Linked DNA regions of Sus scrofa. The protein of the gene in region 2 interacts with the protein of the main gene of each other region in a biochemical or structural test. Links are inferred from orthologs where the notes say so. Each region holds a gene or a part of one and is shown on either strand. Other genes may lie near its edges.

The links.
Region 1: the proteins of ANGPT1 (region 2) and TIE1 interact in a biophysical measurement, tested with the Homo sapiens proteins (2 studies listed by BioGRID and IntAct, with this or other methods). The link is inferred for Sus scrofa from reciprocal best matches to the Homo sapiens genes ANGPT1 and TIE1.

What each region holds. Positions count from the first base shown.
Region 1 is NC_010448.4:167,944,385-167,948,782, forward strand, and holds the start of TIE1 (tyrosine-protein kinase receptor Tie-1), read right to left. Parts: upstream 2,870-4,398; 5' UTR 1-2,869. UniProt on the Homo sapiens protein: Transmembrane tyrosine-protein kinase that may modulate TEK/TIE2 activity and contribute to the regulation of angiogenesis.
Region 2 is NC_010446.5:30,229,905-30,233,990, reverse strand, and holds the end of ANGPT1 (angiopoietin-1), read right to left. Parts: intron 2,984-4,086; coding exon 2,823-2,983; 3' UTR 557-2,822; downstream 1-556. UniProt on the Homo sapiens protein: Binds and activates TEK/TIE2 receptor by inducing its dimerization and tyrosine phosphorylation.

The sequences.
Region 1 (4,398 bases), on a different chromosome or scaffold from region 2:
TTGTGTCTCAGGAAATAGGGAGGCCCAAGAAAAGGTAGAGAGATGGGGGACTGGCCAGCCAGTCAGTGGAGCAGTCAGAACACACAGCATTTAGCAATTAGGGGTTCTTATTGCGGCTCAGCAGGTTAAAATCCCAGCATGCTGTCTGGGAGGATACAGGTTCAAGCCTTGGCCTCGATCAGTGGGTTAGGGTTTCTGGCATTGCCACGGCTGTGTAGACTGCAGATGTGGCTCAGATTTGGTGTTGCTGTGGCTGTGGTGTAGCCTGGCAGCTGCAGCTCCCACTTGACCCCTAGCCTGGGAACTTCCTTCTGCCGGTATGGCTGTAAAAAGAAAAAAAAATTATCAATTAAGTTTGCCATCTTATATGGGTGCAGTTCGTGGTACCCCCAAACAATTATAACAGTAACGTCGAAGGTCACTGATCAGAGGTCACCATAACATAAATAATAATGAAAATGTTTGGAAAGTTGTGCGAATTGCCAAACTGTGACACAGAGACACAAGTGAGCAAATGCTGTTGGAAAAAATGGCACCGATTGACTTGCCTGATGCAGGGTGGCCCCAAACCTTCAATTTGAAAAAAAAGGCAACATCTGTGACGCACAATAAAGCAAAGCACGATCAATGAGGAATGTTTATAATGTCGCTCTCATGACCTAATCACTCCAAAGGCCCCCACCTTCTAGTACCATCGCACTGGGCGTTAGGGTTTCCATGTTTGAAGTCTGGGGGCCACACGCATCCAGGCCATGGCACAGTCCTCTAGGAGCAGGTTAACGGAAGCAGGGTTTTCGCCCTTATTTCTGTGAATAGCTGTCCGAGTGCTGCCCCACCGGCCTCATTTTGAGTAGCATTGATCTCATGGGGTTGGGGAACACATGGCTGAACTCCGAATCAAGGTCTAAATATGGGAATTACTCATGTCCCCCACTTTTCACTTTAAGTCACTTCGCTTTTACAAGAGACTTGCGTTTTTCGGACCGAGAGAAATCCAAGGAGGAGTTTTGCTTTCATGCTAAAAGGTGAAAAGTGAAAATAGCATCGAGCATTTGTTTTGCAGGGAGTTATTACCGAGGCAGCTCACCCCCGGAGCAGCTAGAGGGCTGGACCCCCAAGCTCCTTCCTCTGAAACTGCACTCAGCATCTCAGCATCAAGCCACCAGCACTTTGAACTGTGTCTGTGAGCAGCTTAATCTTGGCTTGTTTTGTGCACCCATTAGTGAGAGGTGTCCAGAATGGTTGCTTCTTTGCTTTATGCCATTTTGGCTTCAAGTTTTCCTAGGAACGCTCTCCTGTCAGAGAGCAGGGAGACCCGTGGAGCATTTCTGGGTTATGGTGGAGTCTGTGGTGTGGTGCAAGGAGGTGAAGGCCACAGGAGATGACGAAGTCCAACAGGGGTTTGGAAGGGTCATTAAAAAGGACCCCCCCCAATCATTCAGAACACACTGTGTCTTTGCATAGATGCAGGCACATAAAACCCTGCCCCGGGCATTTCCAAATGAAGCCTTCCCGACCTCTGTACCATCTGCACATCGTCTGCAGCACATCAAGACTCTTAAACTACCTCAAAATGGAATTCTGTTTTTCCTACAGAGCGATTCTAAGCTTTTGGGGGTGGCGATGGGAAGGACAGACCTCTGAATAAAGGGGGCAGGTAGGGTGGCTGTGCTGGCCTCCTTTGCCATGTATGACCAATGGGTGTCTCCCTTGACCCCTGGGTGCCTAGAGGACCCCAGCCCATGGGAGACCTGCTGTGTTTGCTTATTTGGGGCTGGGGACTCCTTTTCTCCATGTTGAACCATCCCCCTTCCCTCCACCTGGCCTCTCCCATTCTCTTCTGTGAGCGGAGGCTGGGACGGGGGAAGGAGAAGAGTTGAGGGGACGGGGAGCAGCAGATGATGCTGGAGAGTGGCTGGGAGGCTGGGTGGGAGCTCCCGCTTAGGGAGGGCTGGCCAGCCAAGGCCCCACTTAGTTTGTACTTTGGATGGTGGTGGTCCTGGGCAAAAAATCCCTTTCTCACATCCTAGGTTTGTTTGTTTGTTTGTTTGTTTATTTTGCCTTTTTTTAAGGTCGCCCTGCAGCCTATGCAGGTTCCCAGGCTGGGGGTCGAATCAGAGCTATAGTTGCTGGTCTACACCACAGCCACAGCCACGTCAGATCTGAGATGCATCTGTGATCTACGTCAGCTCGCGGCAATGTTGGATCCTTAACCCACTGAGAGAGGCCAGGGATCGAACCCACAACCTCGTGGTTCCTAGTCGGATTCGTTTCCGCTGTGCTACTACGGGAACTCCCATACCACCTTCTTTGAAGTCACTATACGCAGCCCACACTTAAGCACCGGGACTCTCCCGCTCTATGAGGCTTTATCTGCAAAAATGAATCAGAATTCTTCTGAAAGGGAGCTATGTCTTCATTCTCCAGCATTTATTTATCTAGTCAATCATTTGTTTATATCGCTGTGAACTCACAGATATTTATTTCATCCTTTGGGTTGTAATCCAATACTACTTATTTTCTTGCTCAAATTGTTGCCGCCATGGCTGGTGGGACTTCTTTCAGTTGGTTCCCGTGTTCCTTTGACAAATCCCCACAAGCGTTACTGGTGTTTTAGGCTGTCATTTGTTCTTTAACCCTTCCTTACTTCCTGGGCGCACAAGATACTCCAGGCTCATCTTGCATATTTCCTATGCCGTTTCTTAGAATGAGCCCCCTCTCCAAGCAGCCCTGGTTGTTTGTTGAGAATGATATTAGAAACCAAAACCTGGGGGACCCCTAGCCTGGGAACCTCCATATGCCGAGGGTGAGGCCCTGAAAAGACAAAAAAAAAAAAAAAGAAAGAAAGAAAGAAAGAAAAAGGATAAAAGGGGCCCTCAAAAGAAAAGAAAAAAAAGAGAGAGAGAGAGAGAGAAGAATGCAACTGCAGAGCTTGGGTTGCTGTGGAGGTAAGGGTTCCATCCCTGGCTTGGTGCAGTGGGTTAAAGGATCTGGTGTTGCCACAGCTGTGGTATAGGTCACAGCTGTGGCTTGGATTTAATCCCTGGCCCACGAACTTCCATATGCCATGAGCGCGGCAATTAAAAAAAGTTAATGTTACTGGAACACAAATAGATCAGTGGAAGAGAAACATCCAGAAAGGGACCCAAATGCAAACAGGAAATTAGTATGCATAAAAAGTGGCATTTTGAATCAGTGAGAAAAATTGGTCCTTTCAATAAATGATGATGTTGCAACAATTAGTAACAGTAAAAAATAAAGTTGGATCCATACTTTATATCATATATCAAAATAAACTCCAAATAGGTCTAAGATTTAAACATCAAAAATCAAGTCCAGAGTTCCCGTCATGGCTCCGTGGAAATGAATCTGACTAGTCTCCATGAGGACACAGTTTTGATTCCTGGCCTTGCTCAGTGGGTTAAGGATCTGGCATTGCCATGAGCTGTGATGTAGGTTGCAGACACAGCTCGGATCTGGCTGGCATTGCTGTAACTGTGGTGTAGGCTGGTGACTGCAGCTCTGATTTGATCCCTAGCCTGGGAACCTCCATGTCCCTCGGATGCCACCCTAAAAAGACAAAAGACAAAAAAAAAAAAAAAAAAAAAAAAAAATCCACAAAAGAACTAGAACACAACGTAGATAAATTCTCTTTTAACTTTGGATTGAGTAATATTTCCAACTAAGTTTTAAAATCCACAGGCCTTAAGAGTTCCCTGGTGGCTCAGCAGCTTAAGGATCTGGTGTTTTCACTGCTGTGGCTCAGGTTGCTGCTGTGGCACGAGTTTGATCCCTGGCTTGGGAACTTCCACATGCCTCAGGTGTGGCCAAAAAGAAAAAAATCCCCAGACCTTAAAAGATTAATTGAATTTACTAAATATAAATAACCCAAAAGGCAAAAATAAGAGGCAAATGTCAAAAATATGTGTAACTCGGAGTTCCCGTCGTGGCACAGTGGTTAATGAATTCGACTAGGAACCATGAGGTTGCGGGTTCGGTCCCTGCCCTTGCTCAGTGGGTTAACGATCCGGCGTTGCCGTGAGCTGTGGTGTAGGTTGCAGACGCAGCTCGGATCCTGCGTTGCTGTGGCTCTGGTGTAGGCCGGCGGCTACAGCTCCGATTCAACCCCTAGCCTGGGAACCTCCATATGCCTCGGGAGTGGCCCAAGAAATAGCAACAACAACAACAACAAAAAGACAAAAAAAGACAAAAAAAAAATGTGTAACTCATTATTACATATTAGAAATCAATAAGGACTTATAAAATCCAATATTTAAATGGGTGAAGATTATGAAAAAGATTGCACGTTAACACACAAGTTCATGGTTCAGAAAGTTTATAGAAAAGTAGATACAAATGGCCCTTGAAACATACTGAACCTCACAGTAAGAGTGATAC
Region 2 (4,086 bases):
CACAGTAGAGATGTTGGACTCAGACCCATTGCTTTGATCTAACATTCTAATGGAGTTTAAGCTTCTTTATTACATGCAAGACTGAAAGATATTCAAAGATTGAGGCTTTAGTACATTAAGCAGTTTTTTTTTAAGGAACCCACACTTTCATAGATCTCTAATTTTAGAACTTGTAAAATAGTTTAAAATGAGATGAAGTTGCACAAATATGATACTTTCAATTTTATTTAAATCAAATAAAGCTGTGATTGGTATGAAGAAACTAGTATAGAAACTACATAAATTTAATTAACATAAAAATTTAAAGACAGAATCCTACTGCCTAATTATCTTATCCTGAAATAGTTAAATGCAAAGGATAAATTAAATGCAAACATGTAGACATTACACGATGTACACAGTGGAGTCATAAAACATTTTATACTGTCTTATTATAAATGGAAATAATATTTCACTTTTCAAACACAGAAAACAAAACAGTAAATATCATATTTTCCTTTTTTTCATTATTTCATTTTATTTTTGTATTATGAGTTGGGAAAGAATATTACTGGTAAAAAAAAAAAAAAATCTGTAGGAACACAAAAAACCCAAAACATTCACTTTCATTCACTTGAATCAATCAGGAAGGTTTTTAGGAGTTATCCCTATGGTGCAGTAGGTTAAGAATCTGACTGCAGTGGCTCAGGTCACTGCAGAGGAATGGGACAATCTCTGTCCTGGCGCACTGGGTTGCCACAGCTGTGGCATAGGTCATAGCTGCTGCAGTACCGATTCAATCATCCTTGGCCTGGAAACTTCCATATGTGATGGGTGCAGCCATTAAAAAATAAAATAAAAAGGAAAGTTTTTAGAGGGAGAGCATAAATGGTGCTATGAAGGAGTCACCGAGAATAGAGAAGCCGTGGAAAATCTGAAAATATCACTTGTAAGGCAAAACAGGGTTGCGTACACAAAGCACTATAAACAGTTGATGGTAAACTTTAAAAAATAATTTCCTAAAAATGTGAATAGCTTTATTCTTTCAAGGAGAGGAAAGGTATAAAGGCACAATAGATCAAGCCACCAGGTCTGAAACTAGTATTGTTGTCCTGATAAAAAATTTTATTTTCTAAAAAAGGAGACCCAATACGGATTTCAATTTTATCTCATAGTACCCTCATGTTTTGATAAAAACTGTTCACTCCGGTAACCTTGAATACTTAGAGGCAGAAAGTACTTCTTGATAAAATATTGTAGTAAATTCAAATTGCCACAAAAATATGTGCCCCAAAATTCACTAAAAATAGATTATCACGTAGGAATATTTTTATTAAGAGATTTATAGTGACTATTAATTAGAATTATCTTAGTCAAGTGACTGTGATTAATTTTCTTTTTGGGGGTGTGTTTTCCTTAGCATGTAACATAAAGTCTCGACAATTTTTTCCACTAATAATAATGTATTAAAATCAGAAATTGCCTAAGAAAACAGACAAGGAAAAAAAAACATGAGTAAATAACATGTTTCATAAAGTGCTATGGTAGATTTTTTTTGAAAATGTGTTTATTTGCATCAATTGAAGACACTTCATATTCCAGATCAAACACCTATTAGGTTTACTGTGGATATAGACATGCTATGTACAATGGTATTTATAATTCTTCTTTCACTTTTCATAGACTTCAAATTGTATCTCTTATAGAAGCTGGAACAGGGTGAATCTGGAAAGTAAGTTTCAGTTAATTAGCAAAAATTAAATTAACATGAAATAACATGGTGAAGAACTAAGATCATTTTAAAAATAATGAAGTTACACTTAAGTGTACATATGCAAGAAGATACTATAAAATGAGCTGTTCCAGTTTACTTGGTTTTATTTCAACTAACACACTCTAAAATACTGCTTTCATGTATAATATCAAAGGAAATATTAAATGCATGTGTATTGTTTTAAGGGCTTGAAGTATATTTCACATTCTTTAAACTTTACTCAGGCTATAAATATATTTATATATAAGTCAGTTATTTTTTTAAAGTAAATGAAAACTGAAGCATGGGGGGGATAATTTTTCACCTTATATGTCCATATTTGAACTGTCCACTTTTTTTTCTGAAAACTGCATCCAAAATATCAGAGTAATGGACTGTGTTTCTACCTCACACTGCTATTCTTCATGCACTACAATTCTTCATAGTTTAACAAAATGGAATTTACATTTGAAGATGTGTTAACTGACATCAACTTGTAAGTATGATTTAGGAATTAGGCTTCTGAAATCCATTTAACCAACTCAGAGAGCAATGCTAATCTTTCTGAACTTTTATTAAAATTGTGCAACAGTACAAACTTATTGTTAGTGGGTTTGCATAGAAATAACACCATTTATTGGTGCAACACATCTTTTCCAAAGAATTATAGCAGGCCTGTTTTTATCCTTCATGTATACTCTTTTTTTGTTGTTGTTCCTATTTTCTTATTTGTCTTCCGTTTTACATGAAATAGACCATGTTTATCATCTGGCTACCAAAGTTCCAAAATAAGATCCAGTAGTAGTTTGAAGCACAGAGAGCTAAACAGTTTCTTCCCTTTTTAAAGCATGACAGTGAGTGGCATTCTCTGTAGTCAAGCCATATGAACACAGTCACCCCAAGTAGAGACTTCTGTGAACTCAAAAGATTCTACATTCACAGTCAAGAACCTTGGTGATTTCACATAACTGCTACTTGTTGCTGGAAGGGAGACGATACTGTTTGTCTCAGAAGTTTTCACGCAATTTCTCATTTGGTGGCTTCTCCAGATTTCTCTGTGGCTTTTATGATCACTTCTGATATTGTACTTTCAAAAGTCCAAAGGTCGAATCATCATAGTTGTGGAACGTAAAGAGTAACTGGGCCCTTTGAAGTAATGCCACTTTATCCCATTCAGTTTTCCATGGTTCTGTCCCGCTGTATAGAACATTCCATTTAGATTGGATGGGCCACAAGCATCAAACCACCAGCCTGAAAGATTAGTTAATAATGATAGAAAAAAGAAACAATTACATCATTAAAATGAACATTTGGAAGTTAATGCCATTAACTGTGGGGAAACATTCATATGTGTGATTATTTGCAAATAGGGGTTATTTAATAAATATCTTCTTGGTAGTGAAATTGTTTTAAATGGCATACAAACAATCAGAAAGAGGAATGCTCTCATGAAACTCAGCTTTGGTGTCACTCCACTGGGACTCATTTCCCAGTGTACTGATGGGAAGCATCTGGGCTTCAAGACACAATCTAGTCAAGCCTTAAGAGATATTCCACCTGAAGCCTGTTATTGGACATATAACAATTAATTACTAGCAGTGAAGTTCAGAAGCTTAGACAACCGGCATCTAAATAGAGAGAAAGATATGTTCTCCACCTATTTTGAAATTTGGCCAAGAGCTGGCCCTCAGCTGCTTCTGAAATTAATTGGATCCTGGGACCTGACCATGGAGTTGTTTTGCTGTGCCCCCTCCCTGCAGTTTATAGCAATATGAGATGCAGTCATCAACAGTAGCCATGTAATTCCTATATAAAAGCATTTTTTTGGTGATTGTTCAAGTTCTGCCTAAACTTAGTAAGCAGAAAAATAAGTTACATAGAGATGCTAAGCTTTCATAGTTCTCTGCAAGGATAATTCAGTACTTTATTTTTTAAATGAATTAAGTTCTTAGATTTTTAGATAAAACATAGCACTTTTTCTCTCTCTCCTTAAGTAACACTACTAAAATCTTTAGGGAGAGAGCTATGCCAGAGACATTCTGGCATATTTGTATTTGGATACAGTTGACCTCCTTTTGATTATAAAAGTTATACCTAAGGGACTAATAGCTAAAGAAAGAGAGAGCTGTACAGCTGATGTTTAACTGTAACACAAGCATCATTTTCAGAAACTTTTAGAAAAAGTTAAATGGAGAAAAGCTAGTTCTCATTTTTCAGTTTTGGAAGATGCATACAGCTTGGTTCTGTTTATAAAGTCACACTAGAGGCCTAATAAGCCATATTAATCATAAATTCATACTAGGAAAAAGTAAGGTATGTCCACGAATTTGGAAAGACAATGTATTTAATGATGT